Linked DNA regions of Anolis sagrei. The protein of the gene in region 1 purifies or fractionates together with the protein of each later gene. This does not show direct contact. Links are inferred from orthologs where the notes say so. Each region holds a gene or a part of one and is shown in the gene's direction. Other genes may lie near its edges.

What was found.
Region 2: the proteins of PTPN14 (region 1) and WWC2 purify together in Homo sapiens (affinity purification with mass spectrometry, with the first as the bait; 3 studies listed by BioGRID). This does not show direct contact. The link is inferred for Anolis sagrei from reciprocal best matches to the Homo sapiens genes PTPN14 and WWC2.

What each region holds. Positions count from the first base shown.
Region 1 is NC_090021.1:33,745,643-33,757,023, reverse strand, and holds the start of PTPN14 (tyrosine-protein phosphatase non-receptor type 14), read left to right. Parts: upstream 1-6,121; 5' UTR 6,122-7,371; intron 7,372-11,381. UniProt on the Homo sapiens protein: Protein tyrosine phosphatase which may play a role in the regulation of lymphangiogenesis, cell-cell adhesion, cell-matrix adhesion, cell migration, cell growth and also regulates TGF-beta gene expression, thereby modulating epithelial-mesenchymal transition.
Region 2 is NC_090025.1:65,606,213-65,617,107, forward strand, and holds the start of WWC2 (protein WWC2), read left to right. Parts: upstream 1-6,046; 5' UTR 6,047-6,384; coding exon 6,385-6,515; intron 6,516-10,895. UniProt on the Homo sapiens protein: Regulator of the Hippo signaling pathway, also known as the Salvador-Warts-Hippo (SWH) pathway.

The sequences.
Region 1 (11,381 bases):
TTTCCAAATTTATAGTGGAATACCTTAGTCTACTACTCTGCACCAGCTTTCAGTGCAAATACAGTGGGCCCTGATAACCACTGGGGGTTGATTAACAGCCCTGCCATGGATACCAAAATCTGTGGATGCCCAAGACCCATAATATACAGTGGCACAGTAAATGGCATCTCTAATATAAAATGGCAAAATAAAAGGTTGCTTTCTAGAATTTTCTTTGGAGTTGGGGGGGGGGGTATTGGATGCAGACTATATGGTCAAAAGTTTACACTACTGACATTTTAAACACTGTGCCAGTCATAGAGTATTGGCATAGGATGTATGTGCGCATAAGTAATAAAAGCATGGCCACGGTGGACCATGCTCTTGTTACATCAATGATAGATTACTGCTACACGCTCTCCATGGGGTTGCATTTGAAGACTGTTCAGAAGCTTCAAGGGATCCAACAGGCGGCAGCTGGACTCCTCACTGGGGCAGCGCACAGGGAGCGTACAAGATCCCTGTTACGTCTGCTCCACTGACTGCCAGTCTGCTACCGAGCACAATTCAAAGTGCTGACGTTAGCCTATAAAGCCCTTAATGGTTCCAGCCCAGCTTACCTGTCTGAATGTATCTCCCTCTATGATACACCTCAGAGATTAATATCTTCTCGGGAGGTCCTGCTCTCAGTCCCATCTTCTTTGCATGTGGGGCTGGTGGGAATGAGGGGCAGGGCCTTATCAGTGGTGGCCCCTTGGCTATGGAACTTCCTCCCTAGTGAAATTAGAGCAGCCCCCTTCAGGAAGAAAGTAAAAATGTGGTTATGTGACCAGGCTTTTGGAGAGCAAGTTTTTAGTGCAACAAGAGAATAAGGAATAGTGAAATGACAAATGGAACAGCTTCAGATTTTGGATGGTGTGATTTTAATAAGTGGTTTTAAATTGTTAATGCTTTGGTTTTAATGTAAATGTTTATTTTGTTGTGTGTGTGTGTGTCTGTATGTATGTGTGTGTGTGTGTGTGTGTGTATGTATGTATATATATATATATATATATATATATATATATATATATATGCATCAAATTGCTGCCTAATTTGTAAGGCCGCTCTGAGTCTCTTTTGGTTTTGAGAAGGGTGTAATATAAATGAAATAATAATAATAATAATAATAATAATAATAATAATAATAATGGTGATGAGTATAGGCCTGTAGAAACAGTAGTGACTAAAACATGGCTGATGAGTTTATGGTCATTCAGTTGTTCACTCTAGTTCCCATCAGCCTGATCTATCCAGCCTGGTAGTGAGCCTAATAGTTTGTCAGCATCTGGAACGTCCAAGGTTCCCTACTCCTGGCCCAAAGTTGCCCTAAATTACTCTTTTACTCTTTGGGATGAGTTTAGCAAGAAGTTGCTTGAAAGGAAAGCCCTACAATTTGTAATTCTATCATCTTACATTCAGTACTGTAATGCTTTAATAGGATTTGCTTCTGCGTAATTATGCCTACCTTAAAGTTGTAATCTTCAACTTTATTCTTATCGTCGAAGGCTTTCATGGCCTGAATCACTGGGTTGCTGTAGGGTTTTTTGTCTGTATGGCCATATTTTAGAGGCATTCTCTCCTGATGTTTCGCCTGCATCTGTGACAGGCATCCTCAGATGTTGTGAGGACCTCACAACTTCTGAGGATGCCTGCCACAGATGCAGGTGAAACGTCAGGATGGAATGCTTCTAGAACATGGCCACACAGCCTGAAAAACCTACAACAACTCAGTGATTCTTATAATTCACATTTCCAAAGAATTTTTGTAAGTTATGGCTACAGTTCTAACTACCATTTACCCTGAAAATTCCATTAACCTCAATAGACTGACTTCTAAGTAGATCTTACAGCACTGCACTGCATATCTCTTGAGTCGTAAATTTAGTCCTGCTGTGCATACACATGTAAATGCAAGTGTGGGGATGCTAAAGTGTCAAATATATTTTGAACACGTGGCATCCTATGTTACAATAGCATTTTCCAAGTTTATCTTTCACAACAAATACCATTGTGTTTGGCTTTTAAGTGAGCAGAGTACAGGTTCCTGTAAAACAAATAAATATAGCGCACAACTGGCAAAACAGAACCTTCAACAATGAGTATGTGTGGGCAACTCACTATCAGAGATGTGTGCTGAGAGCCTATCCCTGTTTTAATCTATGAAAATGTTGGCAAACATGCAGTGATTGTTCCACACTACCGTCATCCTGCATTATCCAATTTCCACAGACTAGGATACAGACTAGGGCCAGGGAATGACTTTGTTGCAGGGCTCTACTGATTTTGTGAAATCAATTTTTCCATCTTTCTCTCTTTTCAGGAAGATTTCCTGTGCAGTGCTGGCACAGTAGAGGGGGAAAAACATTTTCCTAGCAACAAAATACTGTTGTTCAGAGTGTTGGAAATGAGTTGGCTCCTTGCATTAGAACAGTGTTTCTCAACCTTCCTAATGCCGTACCCCTTAATATAGTTCTTCATGTTGTGGTGAACCCCAACCATAAAATTATTTTGGTTGCTACTTCATAATTGCAACTTTACTATTCATATGAATCGTAATGTAAATATGTGTTATGCAGGATGTACTTTCATTCACTGGACCAAATTTGGCACAAATACCCCATACGCCCACATTTGAATACTGGTGGGGTTGGGGGGATTGATTTTGTCATTAGGGAGTTGTAATTGCTGGGATTTATAGTTCACCTACAATCAAAGAGCATTCTGAACTCCACCAATGATGGAAATGAACCAAACTTGGCATACAGAACTCCCATGACCAACAGAAAATACTGGAAGGGTTTGGTGGGCTTGATCTTGGGTTTCAGAGTTGTAGTTCAGCTACATCCAAAGAGCACTGTGGACACAAACAATGATGGATCTGGACTAAGCTTGGCACAAATACTCAATATGCTCAAATATGAAGTTTGGGGAAAATAGACCTTGACATTTGGAAGCTGTAGTTGCTGAGATTTATAGTTCACCTACAATCAAAGAGCATTCTGAACTCCACCAACAATACAATTGGGTCAAACTTCCCACACAGAATCCCCATGACCAACAGAAAATATTGGAGGGATTTGGGAGAAATTGATAGTGATATAGGGGAGAGCATGCCTTATTTAAACAACCAACTATTAAAAATGTAAGGGTCTTTGACAAGGATGGTCAACTATATGGCTGGAATTTGTGTTTTTGTCTCTAGACCCCTGCAAAACTACTAAAAAAGAAAATGTGTATCCATTTATTATTTACTGACATTAAACAAAATGGGATGTGTGTGCCTGTAACATTTTAAAATGTTGTTGCTTCTCCTGGGACACATAATGGAGCAGAGAGAAAAAGGGTGGTTTGGGGAGTCTGGAGGACTCACTGCAAAGGAGGTAAGGACTATACTTCATAGACCAGGGACACTAGAGGAGAGTTTTCAAGGGAAGACTCTTGTTAGTGTGTTGTAACATAAGACTAATATGAGGAAATGATCTAGCAACACTTTGGAGAGTGATATTCCATCATAAACTTTCATGAATTCCAGATTGCTAATCATCTGCATCTGCTGGGCCCATATACAGGTGTATAGTTACCAGGAGATGAAGGCAAAATAGGAGTTCTGCCCTTTATGATTTTCCTTCATTGTGTGCATTTCTAGCATTGCAGAAAATGACACTAAAATGCACTCACAACTAGGACTCTAGAATTTGCTGTCTGCATTCCCTTGACAACTTTGCCTATATGGTCCTTGTATATGTTCGGGTTTAAAATCCAAGGATGCTCCTAGTCCCATTATATGTAATGGCATAGTAAAATTGTACCCCTTATATAAAATGCTCAAATAAAGTGGGTTGTATGACCATGTTCCAGATGTATTCTCTCCTGATGTTTCACTCACATCTACGACAGGCATCCTCAGAGATTGTGAGGTCTGTGGAAACTAGGCAAATGGGGTTTATATATCCATGGAATGTCCATGGTAGGAGAAAGAACTCTTGTCTGTTTAAGGCAATTGTGAATATGTATTGTTGAAGGCTTTCATGGCCAGAATCACTGGGTTGTTGTAGGTTTTTTTGGGCTATATGGCCATGTTCTGGAGGCATTCTCTCCTGATGTTTCACCTGCATCTATGGCAAGCATCTTCAGAGGTAGTGAGGTGATCCTCACTACCTCTGAGGATGCTTGCCATAGATGCATGTGAAATGTCAAAAGAGAATGCCTCTAGAACATGGCCATATAGCCCGAAAAAAACCTACAACAACCCAGTAATTGTGAATGTTGCAATTGGCCACCTTGATTAGCATTGAATAGGCTTGCAGCTTCAAAGCCTTGCTGCTTCCTGCCTGGGGGAATGCTTTGTTGGGAAGTGTTAGCTGATGCTGATTGTTTCCTGTCTGGAATTCCCCTGTATTCTGAGTGTCGAAACATGGCCATACAGTCCAAAAAACTCTCAGCAACCCAGTGATTCCAGCCATGAAAGCCTTCTATAACATGCTAAAATAAAGGTTTGCTTTCTGGAATTCTGGGAATGAAAAGTTTTCAAGCTGTAAATTGTTGAATCCATGGATACAGAAGGCCCATAATATCTTATTTTGGATGCCTAAACTATTTCTATATGCTTAATTTTGAAATTACTACATTGCTAGAATTTATGAGACTGGAGGAGTATTTCATAAGGGAGGGAGAATTATTATATGGAAGGTAATGTTTGCACTTGAACCTCTACATCCTTGCTCAACATCTAATAAAATAAATGGAAGTCCATGAAAACTTATGATGAAAGCTGAGTTTCAGAAATGCCACTCTGATCTGGATGGTCCTAAATGTATTCAAGCTCAATTGCTACAATGAAATGTGTTGTCAAAGACTTTCATGGCTGGAATCACTGGGTTGCTTTGAGTTTTTTGGCCTGTATAGCCATGTTCCAGAAACATTCTCTCCTTACGTTTCACCCACATCTATGGCAGGCATCTTCATACATTGCGAGGACTGTTGGAAACTAAGCAAGTGAGGTTTATATATCTGTGGAATGTCTAGGGTGGGAGAAACAACTTTTAAAACTCGGTTTTACTTCTACGTAAGTAAGGCAGGGCAACAAAACTTGATAAATCTCTCTAACCCAGTGTTTCTCAACCTGGGGGTTGGGACCCCTGGGGGGGTTGTGAGGGGGCGTCAGAGGTGTTGCCAAAGACCATCAGAAAACATAATATTTTCTGTTGGTCATAGGGGTTTCGTGTGGGAAGTTTGGCCCAATTCTCTCCTTGGTGGAGAGAATTGGGCCAAACTCTCCTTGGTGGGATTCAGAATGCTCTTTGGTTGTAGATATACTATAAATCCCAGCAACTACAACTCCAAAATATCAAGTTGATTTCAGTCAAACTCCACCAGTGTTCACATTTGGGCATATTGAATATTAGTGCCAAGTTTGGTTCAGATCCATCATTATTTGAGTCCACAGTGTGCTCTGGATGTAGGTGAACTACAACTCCCAAACTCAAGGTCAATGTCCAGTATCCTCTGTTGGGCATGGGAGTTGTGTGTGCCAAATTTGGTTCAATTCCACCTTTGATGGAGTTCAGAATGCTCTTTGATTGTAGGTGAACTATAAATCCCAGCAACTACAACTCCCAAAAGACAAAATCAACCCCCCCCCCCCGCCCAAACCCTACCAGAATTCAAATTTGGGTGTATTGGGTATTTGTGCAAAATTTGGTCCAGTGAATGAAAATGCATTCTGCATATCAGATATTTACATTACGATTCCAAACAGTAGCAAAATGACAGTTATGAAGTAGCAAGGAAAATAATTTTATGGTTGGGGTTCACAACATGAGGAACTGTATTAAGGGGTCGCGGCATTAAGAAGGTTGAGAACCAAAGGGGCTAAAGTTGGAGAAAGGAGAAGAGAAAGTTGGTGAAAGAGGAGAGCTGGGGCAAAGAAATCGTGCAAGCAAGCCAGCCAGCCACTCCAGGCCTTTGCGCAAAAGGCTGGTCGGAAAGATTTCCCCCGGCTGGCTCTCCGCCCCTTCCTCCAAATGGGTTTCCCCGCCCTTCACGGAGGGCGGGAAACCCCCTTCCTATGGGGCGCCTTCCTCCATCTTCCTCTCCAACTGAAATCCCCAAAAACACAAACCAACCCAGAAGTAGCTCCTCCTTCCCTGATACCTCCGGGCTCTCCCTCTCCTCTGCGCGCAGTCAAGGGGAACCTCCCCAAAGCCTCTATTCCTTGCCCCCCAACCCTTTCCCCGGCTTGGTCCTCCCTTCCCTACTGAGAACTGCCTCGCTAGTCCCTCCTCTCCGTGTAAAACGGAGTCACTCCGGCGCGCCTCCTCGTCTTCTTCCAACTTCTCTCCAAGCTGTGCGTCAGGCTCGCCACTAGAGTTGCGCTCCAGCAAGTACAGAAAGAAAGAAAGAGGGAAAGGAGCTCTCGGGCATTTGGATTCCTAGTTGGTCCCGAGTTCCTTCCCTCCTCCTCCCCTTCTTCCCCTTGGCATTTGGGGGAGGCTTGGCCCGCCTTGGAACAGAGTCAAACTCCGAAAGGCATCCTGGATTTGGGCTCCTTTTGGAGCGCCCCTTCTTTGAGTCGCCTGTGCGTAAAAATACGGAGAGAGAAAGCAAGCAAGCAAGCAAGAGAGAAGTGCTCCCTCCAGGCAAGTCCCCGCCGCCTCCTGCCCTGCAGTGGCTGCTCCGCATTCTTGGCATTCCTGGGCTGTGACTCCGAGGTCGGCGACGGCAAGGAGGCAGGCGGGAGGGCTCTTGCTTCTCCAAGCAGCAGCTCCACGCAGGACCGGGGCCGAGGAAGAGCCACGCGGGAGGGAGGGAGGGAGGGAGGGAGGGAGGACCCACACGCTCTGGACGCCTGCCTTTCTCCATCTAGGCACCAATCCCCTCCTCTCTGCTTGGCTCTCTCCTCCCTCCAGGCTCCCGAACTTCTTCCCTCCTCCAGCACCCTCCCTTCCTGAAGCTCAAACTTCCTACAAACTTTCCTTTGGAGAGCCTTGCGTGTTGCTTCTTCGGGAGGGGGAAAAGAAAGAAAGAAGAGCCCCCCTTTTTTGCTGCTGACTCCTTAGCACCCCAATATCACTCAGTCCTCTTCATTCCCCACCATCCTCCTTTTCTCCCCTTCCTCTTTCTCCCCTTTCCTTCCTAATTTTGGCAAATTCTGTCGGCTCCAACTTGCCCTGTCCCCTTGTTTGGATTCCTTGGCTAAAGCGGAAGCCTCCTTCATCCATCACCGGTGAATCTTGCGGATTTAAAAAAAAGAAATCAAGGCCTAGAGGAAGGAAAGGAGGAGATCTTTGAGAACTATACCTTGAGGAGACGCAGCTGCCTCGAAGGGGTCCCAAACTCATGTGAAAGCAGGTAAGCCTGAGATGCAACAGTTGGGATGCTTGAGTGAGTTGGCTTGGACTTTTTGAGTTTGGAGTTGGTGTAAGCATTAGTAAGGCTCCTCTCTGGTCAGTAAACTTCGTACAACTTCGCTCTGCAGTGTGAGTGTTTTGAGGTTGTTATTGTTTTGCTTTTGATTTAAAAAAAAATGCAAAACCTATAATACAGGAAGAATGCACACAAACCCAGAGCCCTCTGAACTCAGTACTGTTATCGTTCTGTTCTGTATGGTATTGTTTTATGATATGTTTTATTGTGATATGTTTTATTTGATTTTGTTTTGATGCTATCTTATTGTGTTATGTTTTTAACTTTGTACTCCCTGGGCTTGTCCCTTTATAAGCTGCCCCAAGTCCCTTGGGGAGATGGAGGTGGGATATAAAAATAAAGTTGTTGTTGTTGTTATTATTATTATTATTAGTTTAGGTACAGTTTGGGAGTTTCTGGGTTTGAAGTTGATATAAGCCAAGACTAGAGCATGAATCCACTTTAAATCTGGTTTCTGCCTTCAGCAGAATTCTGGGGTTTGCAGTTTAGTTGAAGGTTCCCCCCTAAACTATAATCCCCAGAATTCTGCAGGAGGCAGCAACCGGATTTAAATTGAATTCATTCTCTAGTTTGATGAGTTCTTCAGTAATCTTGGCAGAACTTCTCTGTGAGGTGTGTGGTTTTGGGGTTATTTTGATTTGCATTTTTAAAAAATACAGGAACAGGGCCAGCTATTTATTTATTTACAGTATTTATATACCACTTTTTTTACCCCTGGGGGGACACAAAGTGGTTTCCATAGAAATAGTGACAAAATTCAATGCCTTACCCTAAATCACAATCAACACCATATAACTGAGCATAAAATCAATAAGACAATTCATCATAAGATATAAGGACATTTAAAACATGAAATATAATACTTAAAACGCCTAATAAAAACATAATGCAAGTATGTAGACCATACTCATCATCCCAACAAAGGAATCCCCCAGACAGGAAGCAGCCAAGCCTTGAAGCTGCAAGGCTTTTCAATGCTAATCAAGGTGATCGATTGCAGCATTCACACCTACCTCCAACAGACAAGAGTTCTTTCTCCCACCCTGGGCATTCCACAGATATATAAACCTCACTCGTTCTAATTCCAACAGACCTCACAATCTCTGAGGATGCCTGCCATAGATGTGGGTGAAACGTCAGGAGAGAATTCTTCTGGTACATGGCCATACAGCCCAGAAAACTCACAGCAACCAGTGATTCCTGGCTATGAAAGCCTTCGACAACACATAGTTCGTGTGCAGTTGGGCAGTTTTTGAGTCTCTTTGTGTAAACAAGGTTCTCTGGTCAGTAAACTTGGCACAACACCCCCGGAGGTGTGTGTGTGTTTTGGGATTTTTGTTTTTGCAATTTGAAAAGCACAGGAACAGTTTATGTCCAGTTTGGAAGTTTCTGACTCAGGCGTTGGTGTAAGTAAGGCTCTTTGGTCAATTATCTTGGCACAGCTCTGTTCTGAGGTTTGTGTTTTTGGACTAACTTGCTTTTGCATTTTTGAAAAAAATACAAAACGTATAATGCAGGAACAGTTAATGGGCGGTTTTGGAGACTTATGCCCATCCCTCACTGCCTGAAAATTGTATTTCAGATCTGCTCAGTTAAATGGAAAGGTTGAGCATGCAAAAGGAGTTCTGAAAATAAGTGACCCTTTGAAAGCATTAGCCTCACATGACTTTCCCTTTTTCAACTTGTCCTGTTGCAATGGCATGGGGTGCCTTGAAAAACTTTACTAAACTTTGTGTGTCCAGCTTCTCAGTGTTGTGGTGTGATTTCTCTTTGGGTCCATGTTTCAGCCAGCTCAAATGAACAAAATCTGGCTACTAGTATTTTTAAAAACTCTAAAATCAGGGCAGTAAATAAAGAGCAACACTTAAAAAGCAGGGAAATTCCAGACAAGAATCTATGAGGGCCAGCTAACACCTCCCAACAAAGGATTCCCCCAGGCAGCAGCCAGCCAGGCTTTGAAGCTATAAATGGTAACCAAGGTGGACAATTAAAACATTCACACTTCTCTCAAGCAGACAAGAGTTCTTTCTCCCACCCTGGACATTCCACTGATATATATACTTCACTTGCCTAGTTTCCAACAGACCTCACACCTCTGAGGATGCCTGCCATAGATGTGGGCGAAACGTCAGGAGAGAATGCTTCTGGAACATGGCCATGGAACTCACAACAACCCAACTCCCACTCTTTTGGCTGGGTGGATTTTATCTTCCTGCTCTTTGTTAGCTACTAGTCAAGTCTATACCGGCCATTCCTCTCTGGCAGATGTTGTGACAAGAAGGAAGGAATGTGGTGGCAGTTTCTCCTGCTCCCTGCCTGACAAAATCTATTAATCTTTTTTTTAAGTTTGCAAAAGAAGCTGCCTTTTAAGGAATGAGTCATTTGTTTGCCTACAGTGCACACAACATAGATGTGTATTTAAAGAGGGTAAAGGGGATGAGGTTTGCTGGTTTTGAACTTCTGTGGGCAAAGGGCCCTGATGATTATAAGTCTCTTTCTTTGTATTCTCTCCAGCTATGTATCTCTAATGAGGGGTGTTGCAAGGAATGAAAGGATGGTATCAAATATGAACTCTTATGCTGAAAATCCCATCCCTTCCTCCTTTATGATGACTTGTGAAATGCACACAAGAAAGGTTTGTGCAATGTGTGAGTGTATTCAGTTCTTGTGGGTTTTTTCGGGCTATATGGCCATGTTCTAGAGGCATTTCTCCTGACGTTTCACCTGCATCTATGGCAAGCTGCATCTATGGTCAGCATTTCTCCTGACGTTTCGCCTGCATCTATGGTGAGTGTATTTTTTTTTTTAAGTAAACCCTAAGTGTGTTATGATAGACCTTTTTTTGGGCATTACAGTTTTGAAAACTTCTCTAAGGTAATGTTCTTGGACTCAGAAGGGATCAAAGACACTAAAAAAGAGCACTGCTTTTTTAGAACAAAGGTCTGTCTATTCAGCATCCTGTTTCCAAATGGAGTCAGTCCCATGCTTCTGGGAAGTCCCCCAAAATAGAGTAAGAACACAACAGTCCTCTGCTCCTTGTTGTTGGCAGCTCCATATAGATTCCATGTGTTTGTTTGCTCGACTGTTTGCCCCAATTTACCTAGTGAATATAAGACGTATTTCCGTTGGATTCCGGTTGTGCATGAAGGAGAGAAGTATGGGAAGAATGTGTTGATTTGACTTTCTTCCTTACAGTGAGAACTCAAACACAATAGTTTTCTTTTTATGTGATCACTCCTTAGCAAATTTACTCTTACAAGGGCAAATACTCACAAACATTGGATTGTTTTGTGCTTGAAGCTTGCCAGATGACTGGATGATGAATGTCTCAACTGTTTCTGGTGAAAATAATGTGTCTCAAGCAATCTAAAACTTTTGTTGAATCTTGTGATGTGTCCAGGGCTGTGCATGCTGTTGATGTTGCAAGTAGCTGTCGTGTGATGGGCCAATTAGATGTGGGGTAACATAGTATTGAAAGTGGTATCTAGTCTAAAGCAGGTTAACAGTCTTTGGGATCATTTACAACTTGGTAAATGGGATTTACTACTATAGTGGATGAAGGCTGTGGTATAGGGACTACATCATTTGCAATTGTATCATCAAAGGCTTTCATGGCTAGAATAATTGGGTTGCTTTAAGTTTTCCAGGCTGTATGGCCATGTTCCAGAAGCATTCTCTTCTGATGTTTCACCTGCATCTATGGCAGGCATCTTCGGAGCTTGTGGGGTAAGGTGAACGTTTTTTTCTATGTGTTTTGAAACAGTTTCTCCCTGTAGATAGGTTCAATGTATTATTGAAGGCTTTCATAGTTGGAATCATTAGGTTGCTGTGAATTTTCCGGGCTCTATGGCCATGTTCCAGAATCATTCTCTCCTGATGTTTCAGAGAATGCCTGTCATAGATGGATTGGAGGTGAAATGTCAGGAGAGAATGCT
Region 2 (10,895 bases), on another chromosome or scaffold:
TCATCTGAGCAATGGTGTTATGCCTCTGCTTGTAGTCTGTCTGCACAATCTTCTTGCAGCAGCTGATGATGTGATCTATTGTTTCATCTGCTTCCTTGCAGAGTCTACATTTGGGATCTGTCATTGACATTTCAATTCTGGCTTTGATGGTATTGGTTCTAATGGCTTATTCTTGGGCTGCCAGAATCAGGCCCTCCGCCTCCTTTTTAAATTATTATTAAAATTATTATTATTATTATTATTATTATTATTATTATTACTCAGAGGTCTTGAGTTTTCCCCTTGCAATTGTATAAAACTGATGTAAAGCCACTGTGCGCTAATAACAGATGCTGACTAAAGTTCCGAGTTCAAATTTCTATGTTCAGTATTAACATGACCTATTTGGCCCTTCGGATATCTATAATTCAGCCAAGTTATAGTGGACTAAAATTTTAAAAGAAACCACTTTCCATGCCTGGCTTAAATTCTGTGCTAACAGAAAATTTGCTGGAATTTCCGTTGTGTCACACATATCCTGTGGGACTTTCCCCGTGAAATCTATTTTTCATTAAGAATGTATCACAAGGCAGAAAATATAATCCTAGCTTGTTAGGCTACTTTTTTAGTCTGTTACCTTACACATGGATTTCATTAGTATAGTAAATAATGTAAAGGTCTCCTTGCACAAAGACCTCCGGCGGATACAAACATCCATGACTGCTCAAATCTTGTTATATACAACGGCATAGCAAAACGGTGTCCTGGATATAAAATAGCAAAATCAAAGTTTGCTTTTCACTTAAAAAAAAAACATGTTCAAGCTATGGATGAATGAATTCCTCAGATACAGAATCTGTGGCTATGGAGGTCCAATTGTATAACTGTTCAGGTTCAGATGTATCTTTGGAAGTGAATGAGATAGAAAGTCATATCTAACAGAACTAAAATAATGGTTTCAGATTGGATGGGCCTCTGTGTGTGTGCCTTCAAGTCACCTGTTGGACTTATAGTACCCCATGAGATTAATGGGGGCTTTCTTAACACTCAGAAGTGTTTCTTGCCTAAAACAATGCAACCATATTAAACTTAAGTAAATATTTTACCATATTTTGTAGCTTGTATATTTTCCTATTTTAATTGTATACTGAGAATAGGAATGAACTGAATGATTGTGCCTACACACTTTCCAGTCCCTGGGTCTTACTGAAAGACATATAGCCACTAATACTGGGGGTAATGTAGAGCCATGTAAGGCATTACCAACACCTTAAATAGCTTTCTAAGATCTACAGAGATACTCACATGAACACCTCAGCGAGCAAGAGACCAAAAGTGGCAGGTTAAAACCCGGAGCCTCAAACCATGGCTGATACTGGATGAGAACCTCCCTTCTGGGAGTCTCTCTTTTCTTCTTTCTTGTGGGGTTTTCTTCTACTTTTTCTAAAGTCTTTTATTGTGGGAGACCCTTTTTGTGGCACCGGGGCCCCTTCAACATCTATATAAATAAAAATGTAATGTTGGTTTGTGGGATTAACATAACTCAAAAACCACTGGACAAATTGACACCAAATTTGGGCACAATACACCTATCAGGCCAGCAAGTGACCATCACTCATAAAAACACTGAAAAACACAGCAGAAGAGAATTAAAAAGCCAGAGGAGGCTGAAGGTCTTGCAAATCTATTATTATTATTATTATTATTATTATTATTATTATTATTTTATACCCTGCCTTTTCCTTCCAAAAAGAGACGCAAATTTATTGTTGTTATGTTTATTTATACCACATTTTTTCTCTCCACAACAGACTCAATTTATTATTATTATTATTGTTTATTTATACCTCGCTTTTTCTCTCCACAAAGAGACTCAAATAAGTATTTCAATACAGTTTTTCAATACAGTATTTCAATACAGTTAAAATCTACAAATATACAGACATTAAAGCAGAATTAAATATCACTGGTATTTAAAAAAAATCAGTTAAAATCCACAAGGACCTCTTCAAAGAGAATGGAACAACTTAAATCCAGTTTCTGCCTCCTGCAGAATTCTGAGGTTGTACATTAGGGAGGGGCCTTTAAGCAACTCAGCCAGACAGGTCTTGGGCCTCCCTAAACTACAAATCCCAGAATTCTGCAGGAAGCAGAAACCGGATTAAAGTGGATCCATACTCTAGTGCAGGGGTCCTCAAACAGAGGGCCAGGTCACAGCCCCTCAAACTGTTGGAGGGCCGGATTATAATTTGAAAAAAACATGAATTAATTCCTATGCACACTGCACATATCTTTTTTGTAGTGCAAAAAACACTTAAAAACAATACAATAATTAAAATGAAGAACAATTTCAACAAATATAAAATTATTAGTATTTCAATGAGAAGTGTGGGCCTACTTTTGGCTGATGAGATAGGATTTTTGTTGTTGTTCTGTGCTTTCAAGTAGTTTCAGACTTAGGTTGACCTTGAGCGAGGGCCGGGTAAATGACCTTGGAGGGCCGCATCCGGGCCCCGGGCCTTAGTTTGAGGACCCCTGCTCTAGTGTGATGAGGCTGTTAACTAATCTACAACTCCTATGAGTCCATAGCATGGGGTGCAACTAGAATCTCTGCATTTTGACACCCCTTTAACTTCCATGGATCAATGCTATGGGATTGTGGGGGTTGTAGTTTAGTGAGGCCAAAGCACTCTTGGGAAGAGACGTCTGAAGACCTTGTAAATCTTCAACTCCTATGAGTTTATAACATGGGGCGCACTTAGAATCCCTGCAGTTTAACCACCATGGCTCAATGCTTTGGCATGATAGGAGTTGTAGTTTAGTGAGGCCCCAGCCCTCTTGAGCAGAGAACTTTGAAGACCTTGCAAATCGACAACACCTATGAGTTTATAGCATGGGGTGCATCTAGAATCCCTGCAGTTTAACTGGCATGGGTCGATGTTATGGGATTGTGGGAGTTGTAGTTTGGTGAGGCCCCAGTACTCTTGGACAGAGAAGTCCTTGCAAATCTACAACTCTTATGAGAGTGCACTTAAATCTCTGAAGTTTAACTGGCATGGCTCAATGTAATGGAATTGTGGGAGCTGTAATTTGGTGTGGCCCCAGCACTCTTGGACAGAGAAGTCCTTGCAAATCTACAACTCCTATGAGGGGGCATCTAGAATCACTGCAGCTTAACTGGCATGGTTCAATGCTTTGGAATGATGGGAGTTGTACTTTGGTGAGGCCCCAGCACTCCTGAGCAGAGAACTCCTTGCAAATCTACAACTCCTATGATGGTGCACTTAGAATCTTTGCCGTTTAACTGGCATGGCTCAATGCTATGGGATTGTAGGAGATGCAGTTTGGTGAGGCCCCAGCACTCTTGAGCTGAGAACTCTGAAGACCTTGCAAATCTACAACTCCTATGAAGGTGCACTTAGAATCCCTGCAGTTTAATTGGCATGGCTCAATGCTATTATTCTTTATTATTTACGACATTTTTATCCCATCCTTCTCAAGCCCAAAGGCAACTCAAAGCGGTTTAGAGATTGGCAGCCATTCGATGCCATAACAGTCCACAATACACAGTTAAAACATTTGAAATATTATAAAACAATATAAAAACCAACTTACCTGTCTGGACGCATCTCCCCTTATGAACCCTCCAGGATTTTAAGATCGTCTGGGGAGGCCCTGCTCTCGATCCCGCCTTCGTCACAAGTATGCCTGGCGGGGATGAGAGACAGAGCCTTCTCAGTGGTGGCTCCTTGGCTATGGAACGCCCTCCCTAGGGGTATTAGATAGCCCCCCTCCCTCTTAACACTCTGAAAGAAGGTCAAGATTTGGCTTTTTGAGCAAGCGTTTGCAGATACAATATAACAGACGTGGAGAAAAAAATGGAACGACTCAATGACGGTATTGGATAATGCTTTTAACTAGGAGACTCAAATCGATATATGTTTTTATTGATATTGTTTTATTTGTTTTTATATTTAAATTGTATTTTACGCTTTTGATGCTGATGGTAAACCGCCCTAAGTCGCCTGTGGGCTGAGAAGGGCGGTATATAAATGTAGTAAATAAATAAATACATACATAAATAAAACCATCTCTCTCTACTCGTGCATAGCACAAACATGAACAAAAATGTAATAGTATCCAAAAGTCCCAGGCTCAACCATCCAAAGGATTTGGACCCTTTAAGAGCTTCCTGGTCTCTGTGGCAGAAACAGTCCAGAAGGTAAGAGCGTCTTACTTGGGATTGTGGGAGTTGTAGTTTGGTGAGGCCCCAGCACTCTTGAGCAGAGAAGTCGTTGCAAATCTACAACTCCAATGGGAGTGCACTTAAATCCCTGCAGCTTAACTGGCATAGCTCAATGCTATGGGATTGTGGGAGTCGTAGTTTGGTGAGGCCCCAGGGGTTTTGAGCTGAGAACTCTGAAGACCTTGCAAATCTACAACTCCTATGATAGTGCACTTAGAAAGAATCTCTACAGTTTAACTGGCATGGCTCAATACTATGGGATTGTGGGAGCTGTAGTTTGGTGAGGCCCTAGCACTCTTGGGCAGTCTGAAGACCTTGCAAATCTATAACTCCTATGAGTTTATAGCAAGGGGTGCATCTAGAATCCCTGCAGTTTAACTGGTATGGTTCAATGCTTTGGAATGGTGGGAGTTGTAGTTTGGTAAGGTCCCAGCACTCTTGAGCAGAAAAGTCCTTGCAAATCTACAGCTCTTATGAGAGTGCACTTAAAACCCTACAGTTTAACTGCCATGGCTCAATGCTATTATTATTATTATTTATTATTTACGGTATTTTTATCCCGCCCTTCTCAAACCCAAAGGCAACTCAAGCTGGTTAACAGATTGGCAGCCAGTCCACAATATACAGTTCAAACATTTAAAACATTATAAAACAATGTAAAAACCATTAAAACTATCTCTCTCCGCACGTGCATAGCTCAAGTCTGAACAAAAATGTAATAGTATCCAAAAGTCCCAGGCTCAGCCATTCAATGGATTTGAACCCTTTAAGAGCTTCATGGTCTCAGTGGCAGAAACAGTCCAGAAGTTAAGAGCTTTTTACTTGGGATTGTGGGAGTTGTAGTTTGGTGAGGCCCCAGGACTCTTAAACTGAGAACTCTGAAGACCTTGCCAATCTACAACTCCTAGGATAATGCACTTTGAAAGAATCACTCCAGTTTAACCGGCATGGCTCATTGCTATGGGATTGTGGGAGTTGTAGTTTGGTGAGGCGGCCCAGCACTCTTGGGTAGAGAAGTCTGAAGACTTCATGAGTCCATAGCATGGGTGAATGTAGAATCCCTGCAGTTTAACTGGCATGGCTCAGTGCTTTGGAATGGTGGGAGTTGTAGTTTGGTGAGGCCCCAGGACTCTTAAACTGAAAACTCTGAAGACCTTGCAAATCTACAACTCCTAGGATAATGCACTTTGAAAGAATCCCTCCAGTTTAACTGGCATGACTCAGTGCTCTGGGATTGTAGGAGTTGTAGTTTGGGGAGGTGGCCCAGCACTCTTGGAAAGAGAAGTCTGAAGACTTCATGAGTCCATAGCATGGGTGAATGTAGAACCCCCGCAGTTTAACTGGCATGGCTCAGTGCTTTGGAATGGTGGGAGTTGTAGTTTGGTGAGGCCCCAGGACTCTTAAACTGAGAACTCTGAAGACCTCGCAAATCTACGACTCCTAGGATAACGCACTTTGAACGAATCCCTCCAGTTTAACTGGCATGGCTCAATGCTATGGGATTGTGGGAGTTGTAGTTTGGTGAGGCAGCCAGAGTAGTCTGAAGAGCGTGTAAAACTACGACTCCCATGATCCCATGGCATTGCTCCATGGCAGTGCAAGTGGGGGGTCAAAACTGCCAAGTAGAGAGTTGCAAATATTGCATTCCAGGCTCAACTTTTCCCAAAGTTTTCTCTCTCTCTGGGCCTTTCCCTCCCCTGCCGCTTCTCATCCCGCAGCGGCGCAGAAAGGGTTAACGCTCAGGAATGCGCCTGCGGGCCAAGGAGGAATGCGTATGCAGATGAGATGGATGCTAATCTCATGCAAATGAGCCCCCGCTGCTGCCGCCGCCGCGCGCCGCTGCCGCCGCGCGCCGCTCGGGGCTGAGCCGGGTTCCTCCAGCGCCTTGGCCCGTTCCCTCCTCCCCTGCCTTCCGCCTGGGCCTGGCACCGGGAGCTCGCCTTTGCCGGGACCCCCAAAGGGAAAAGGAGGCGGACCAAGGCGGAGAAGGGGAGGGGGGTCCCGATCTCAGCCATGGCGGGCTGAAAGGCGCAAAGGGGAGAGTTTCCTGCCCGGCCGCAGGCGAGGAAAAGAGTCCTTGCAGTAGCAAAGCAACAGCAGCAGCGCCTTCTTTCTTCTTGGCTTTCCCGCCCCGATGGAGCCAGGGCTGCCCCCCGGCCATGCCTAGGGACGCCGGGGACGGGCAGCTGCCCTTGCCCGACGGCTGGGAGGAGGCCCGCGACTACGACGGAAAGGTCTTCTTCATCGACCACAACACCAAGCAGACCAGCTGGATCGACCCCCGGGACAGGTGGGTGCGCGAGAGTGGCAGGAGGAAAAGTGGCCAAGGAAAGCACCTCTCCCTCCCTCCAAGCAGAAGTGGTTTGGCCATCTGTCGGGAGTGTTTTGGTTGTGTCTTGAGTGCAACTCTTATATATGAGTCAATCACGCTATTCCATTTTGAGTTGCAGGAGGAAAAGTTGCAAAGAAAAGCCCCCCCCCCCTCAAAAGTGGAGTCTCTCCAAGCAGAAGTGGGTTGGCCATCTGTCGGGAGTGTTTTGGTTGTGTTTTGAGTGCAATTCTTAGGAAAAATTGCAAAGGAAAGCCCCCCTCTCCCTCAGAATTTGAGTCTCTCCAAGCAGAAGTGGGTTGGCCATCTGTCGGGAGTGTTTTGGTTGTGTTTTGAGTGCAACTCTTATATATGAGTCAACCATGCTATTCCATTTTGAGTTGCAGGAGGAAAAGTTGCAAAGGAAAGCCCCCTCTCCCACAAAATTGGACTCTCTCCAAGCAGAAGTGGTTTGGCCATCTGTCGGGAGTGTTTTGGTTGTGTCTTGAGTGCAACTGTTATATATGAGTCAACAATGCTATTCCAATTTGAGTTGCAGGAGGAAAAGTTGCAAAGGAAAGCCCCCCCTCAAAAGTGGAGTCTCTCCAAGCAGAAGTGGTTTGGCCATCTGAAGGGAGTGTTTTGGTTGTGTTTTGAGTGCAACTCTTATATATGAGTAAAACCATGCTATTCCATTTTGAGTTGCAGGAGGAAAAGTTGCAAAGGAAAGGCCCCTCTTCCCCAGAATTGGAGTCTCTTCAAGCAGAAGTGGTTTGGCCATCTGTCAGAAGTGCTTTGGTTGTGTTTGGAGTGCAACTCTTATATATGAGTCAATCATGGTATTCCATTTTGAGTTGCAGGAGGAAAAGTTGCAAAGGAAAGCCCCCCCCCCCTCAAAAGCGGAGTCTTTCCAAGCAGAAGTGGTTTGGCCATCTGTTGGGAGTGTTTTGGTTGTGTTTGGAGTGCAACTCTTATATATGAGTCAATCATGGTATCCCATTTTGAGTTGCAGGAGGAAAAGTTGCAAAGGAAAGCCCCCCCCCCCCCCGAGAATTTAAATCTCTCCAAGCAGAAGTGGTTTGGCCATCTGTTGGGAGTGTTTTGGTTGCGTTTTGAGTGCATGTCAGCGCTGGCTGGGCCCTTGCCGCCCCTTCCAACTCTCAACCATGCTATGATTCCATTTTGCACTTCTGCAAAACTTATTATTATTATTATCATCATTATTATCATTATTATTATTTAGATAATGGCTCTCCTTGCACCCCATGACAAGCTTTCTAACGCCACACCTGTATTAAAATCCACATTGAACTGGATTATATGGCAGTGTGAACTCAGGGCCCTTCCACACAGCCCTCTGTCCCAGAATATCAAAGTAGAAAATCCCACAATATCTGCTTTGAACTGGTTTATCTGAGTCCACACTCCTATAATGTGCGATTTTCTGCCTTGATATTCTGGGATATAGGACAGGCCCTAGGTAAAGGTAAAAGTTTTACCCTGACATTAAGTCTAGTCGGTAACCAGCACCAAAAGACATGATACACGAGCCTGTATCTAAATAATATTAATAATAATAATAATCTGCTTTTTCTCTCCACAAGGGAGACTCAAAGCGGATTCCATTAAAAGTATTTCAATACAAAACAATACAATTTTCCCAGGCATTCTTCTCTTAAAATAACTACAGGCAATCCCCAAGTTACGAACAAAATAGGTTCTGTAGGTTTGTTCTTAAGTTAAATTTGTTTGTAAGTTGGAACAGGTACATTTTTAAGTGTAACTCCAGCCACATATATAATTATATTAGCTTTGGATAGTATAAAAGGTAAAGGTTTTCTCCTGACATTAAGTCTAGTCGTGTCCAACTCTGGGGGTTGGTGCTCATCTCCATTTCTAAGCCGAAGAGCCGGCGTTGTCCGTAGACACCTCCAAGGGCATGTGACCGGCATGACTGCATGGAGCGCCGTTACCTTCCCTCCAAAGTGGTACCTATTGATCTACTCACATTTGCATATTTTCAAACTGCTAGGTTGGCAGAAGCTTGGGCTGACAGCGGAAGCTCACACCGCTCCCCGGAATCGAACCTGCAACCTTTCGGTCAACAAGCTCAGCAGCTCAGCGGTTTAACCCACCGGGTGGGTTAGGTTGACCCTCAGCAAGGGCCGGGTAAATTATCTTGGAGGGCCGTATCCGGCCCCCAGGCCTTAGTTTGAGGACCCCTGATGATCTGGCTGCGTGGACTCATATAATCCAGTTTCAAAGCAGAAAACCTGGGATCAGATCCTGAGATGTGAATAAAATCTGAATAAAATCCCACATTATCTGCTTTAAACTGGAATATATGGCAGTGTGGACTCAGATAACTCAGTTCAAAGCAGATAGTGGGATTTGCTGCCTTGATATTCTGGGTTATATGGCTGTGTGGAAGGACCTTGTGTTAAAGGATCCTCAAGTTCCTTCCACACAGCTGAAAAAAACGATAGATTATCTGCAATATATAGGAATGATACAACAAAAGATATTATTCTGGCATGCCTCTCACAGAACATGATGAAAACCAAAAGATGTCTTTTCCTAGTAGTGTGATTTTCCTAGTAGTGTAACATAAACAATAACAAAGTTTAACCAACAACGAATACCAAAAAGGAGAAGAAGATAAGTTTGCTTCCACTTTTACAAAAATGTCTCGATACAATCTTACATTGACTGACAGTAACCACTACAGTTGTACTAAAGCTCCTTCCACACAGCTGTATAAAATCCACATTGAACTGGATTATATGGCAGTGTAGACTTGGATAACCCAGTTCAAAGCAGATATTGTGGGGTTATTATTATTATTTTCTGCTTTAATATTCTAGTGCCCTTCCACACAGCTGTATAATGTCCTCATTGAACTGGATTGTATGGCAATGTGGACTCGGATAACCCAGTTCAAAGCAGATATGGTGGATTACCTGCCTAGATATTCTGGATTATATGGCTGTGTGGAAGGGCCCTTAGAAACTGGATTATCTGGCAGTGTAGATCCAGCCTTTGAAGGTCTGCTTTCCTAGAGCCCAGGCATGCTAGTGTTTCTGTTATCACCAGGGCTGGATCTACACTCTATGAACTGCATTATATGTCAGTGTAGAGTTCCCATGCAATGCAGTTCACACTGCGGGTCCTTCCACACAGCCCTATATCCCAGAATATCAAGGCAGGAAATCCCACATTAACTGAGTGTGGACTCAGATATCCCAGGGCCCTTCGGCACAGCCCTATATCCCAGAATATCAAGGCAGGAAATCCCACATTAACTGAGTGTGGACTCAGATATCCCAGGGCCCTTCCACACAGCCCTATATCCCAGAATATCAAGGCAGGAAATCCCACATTAACTGAGTGTGGACTCAGATATCCCAGGGCCCTTCCGCACAGCCCTATATCCCAGAATATCAAGGCAGAAAATCCCACAACTTTTTAAATATGCAAAAAATGTGAAAAAATCGAGCTTTAAAACTCGAAGGAGCCTCCAAAGACTTTGCATCAGGCTTGTGTTTCTCTCTTTCAAAACAGCTGGAGATCCATAAGCACTAGGGATTCTGCTTTTAAAAAAGCGATAATTTCTGCTCAAATCGTATTTTCATTTCCTAGTCCAGAACTTTTTTTTTTGGAACCGTCTTTCTCAGGAAGAAGCTGGACTCGGCAAAGATAAATACACAAGCAGTTTGCTGAAGTCTGTTTTTGGAACTGCAGGTCTGGCATGCAGTCGGCATGAATTTTTTCTTTCTCCTGAAACTTTGGATTATGGAAACAAACAGACTACTGTACATTGCCTTGTTCGAGGCCCCTGATCTTTTCGCTTTTTCTCCATCCCACATCTATCTATCTATCTATCTATCTATCTATCTATCTATCTATCTATCTATCCAAGGTGGAGTTGTTTAGGTTTGTTAGGAAGGTGAAGGAAGTGGTCTCAGGCCTCATGTTTGAGCTTTTGGAAGTAGGCCTCAACTGAGTTCTTTCATCTCTTCCTCTAGATCAGGGGTCCTCAAACTAAGGCCCAGGGGCCGGATACGGTCCTCCAAGATTTACCCGGCCCTGGCTCAGGGTCAACCTAAGTCTGAAAAGACTTGAAAGCACACAGCAACAACAACAACAATCCTACCTCATCAGCCCAAAGCAGGCCCACACTTCCCATTGAAATACTAATAAGTTTGTATTAACAATTTGTTAAAATTGTTCTTCATTTTAATTATTGTATTGTTTTGAAGTGTTTTTGCACTACAAATACAATGAATGCAGTGTGCATAAGAATTCATTCATGGTTTTTTCAAATTATAATCCAGCCCTCCAACAGTTTGAGTGACTGTGACC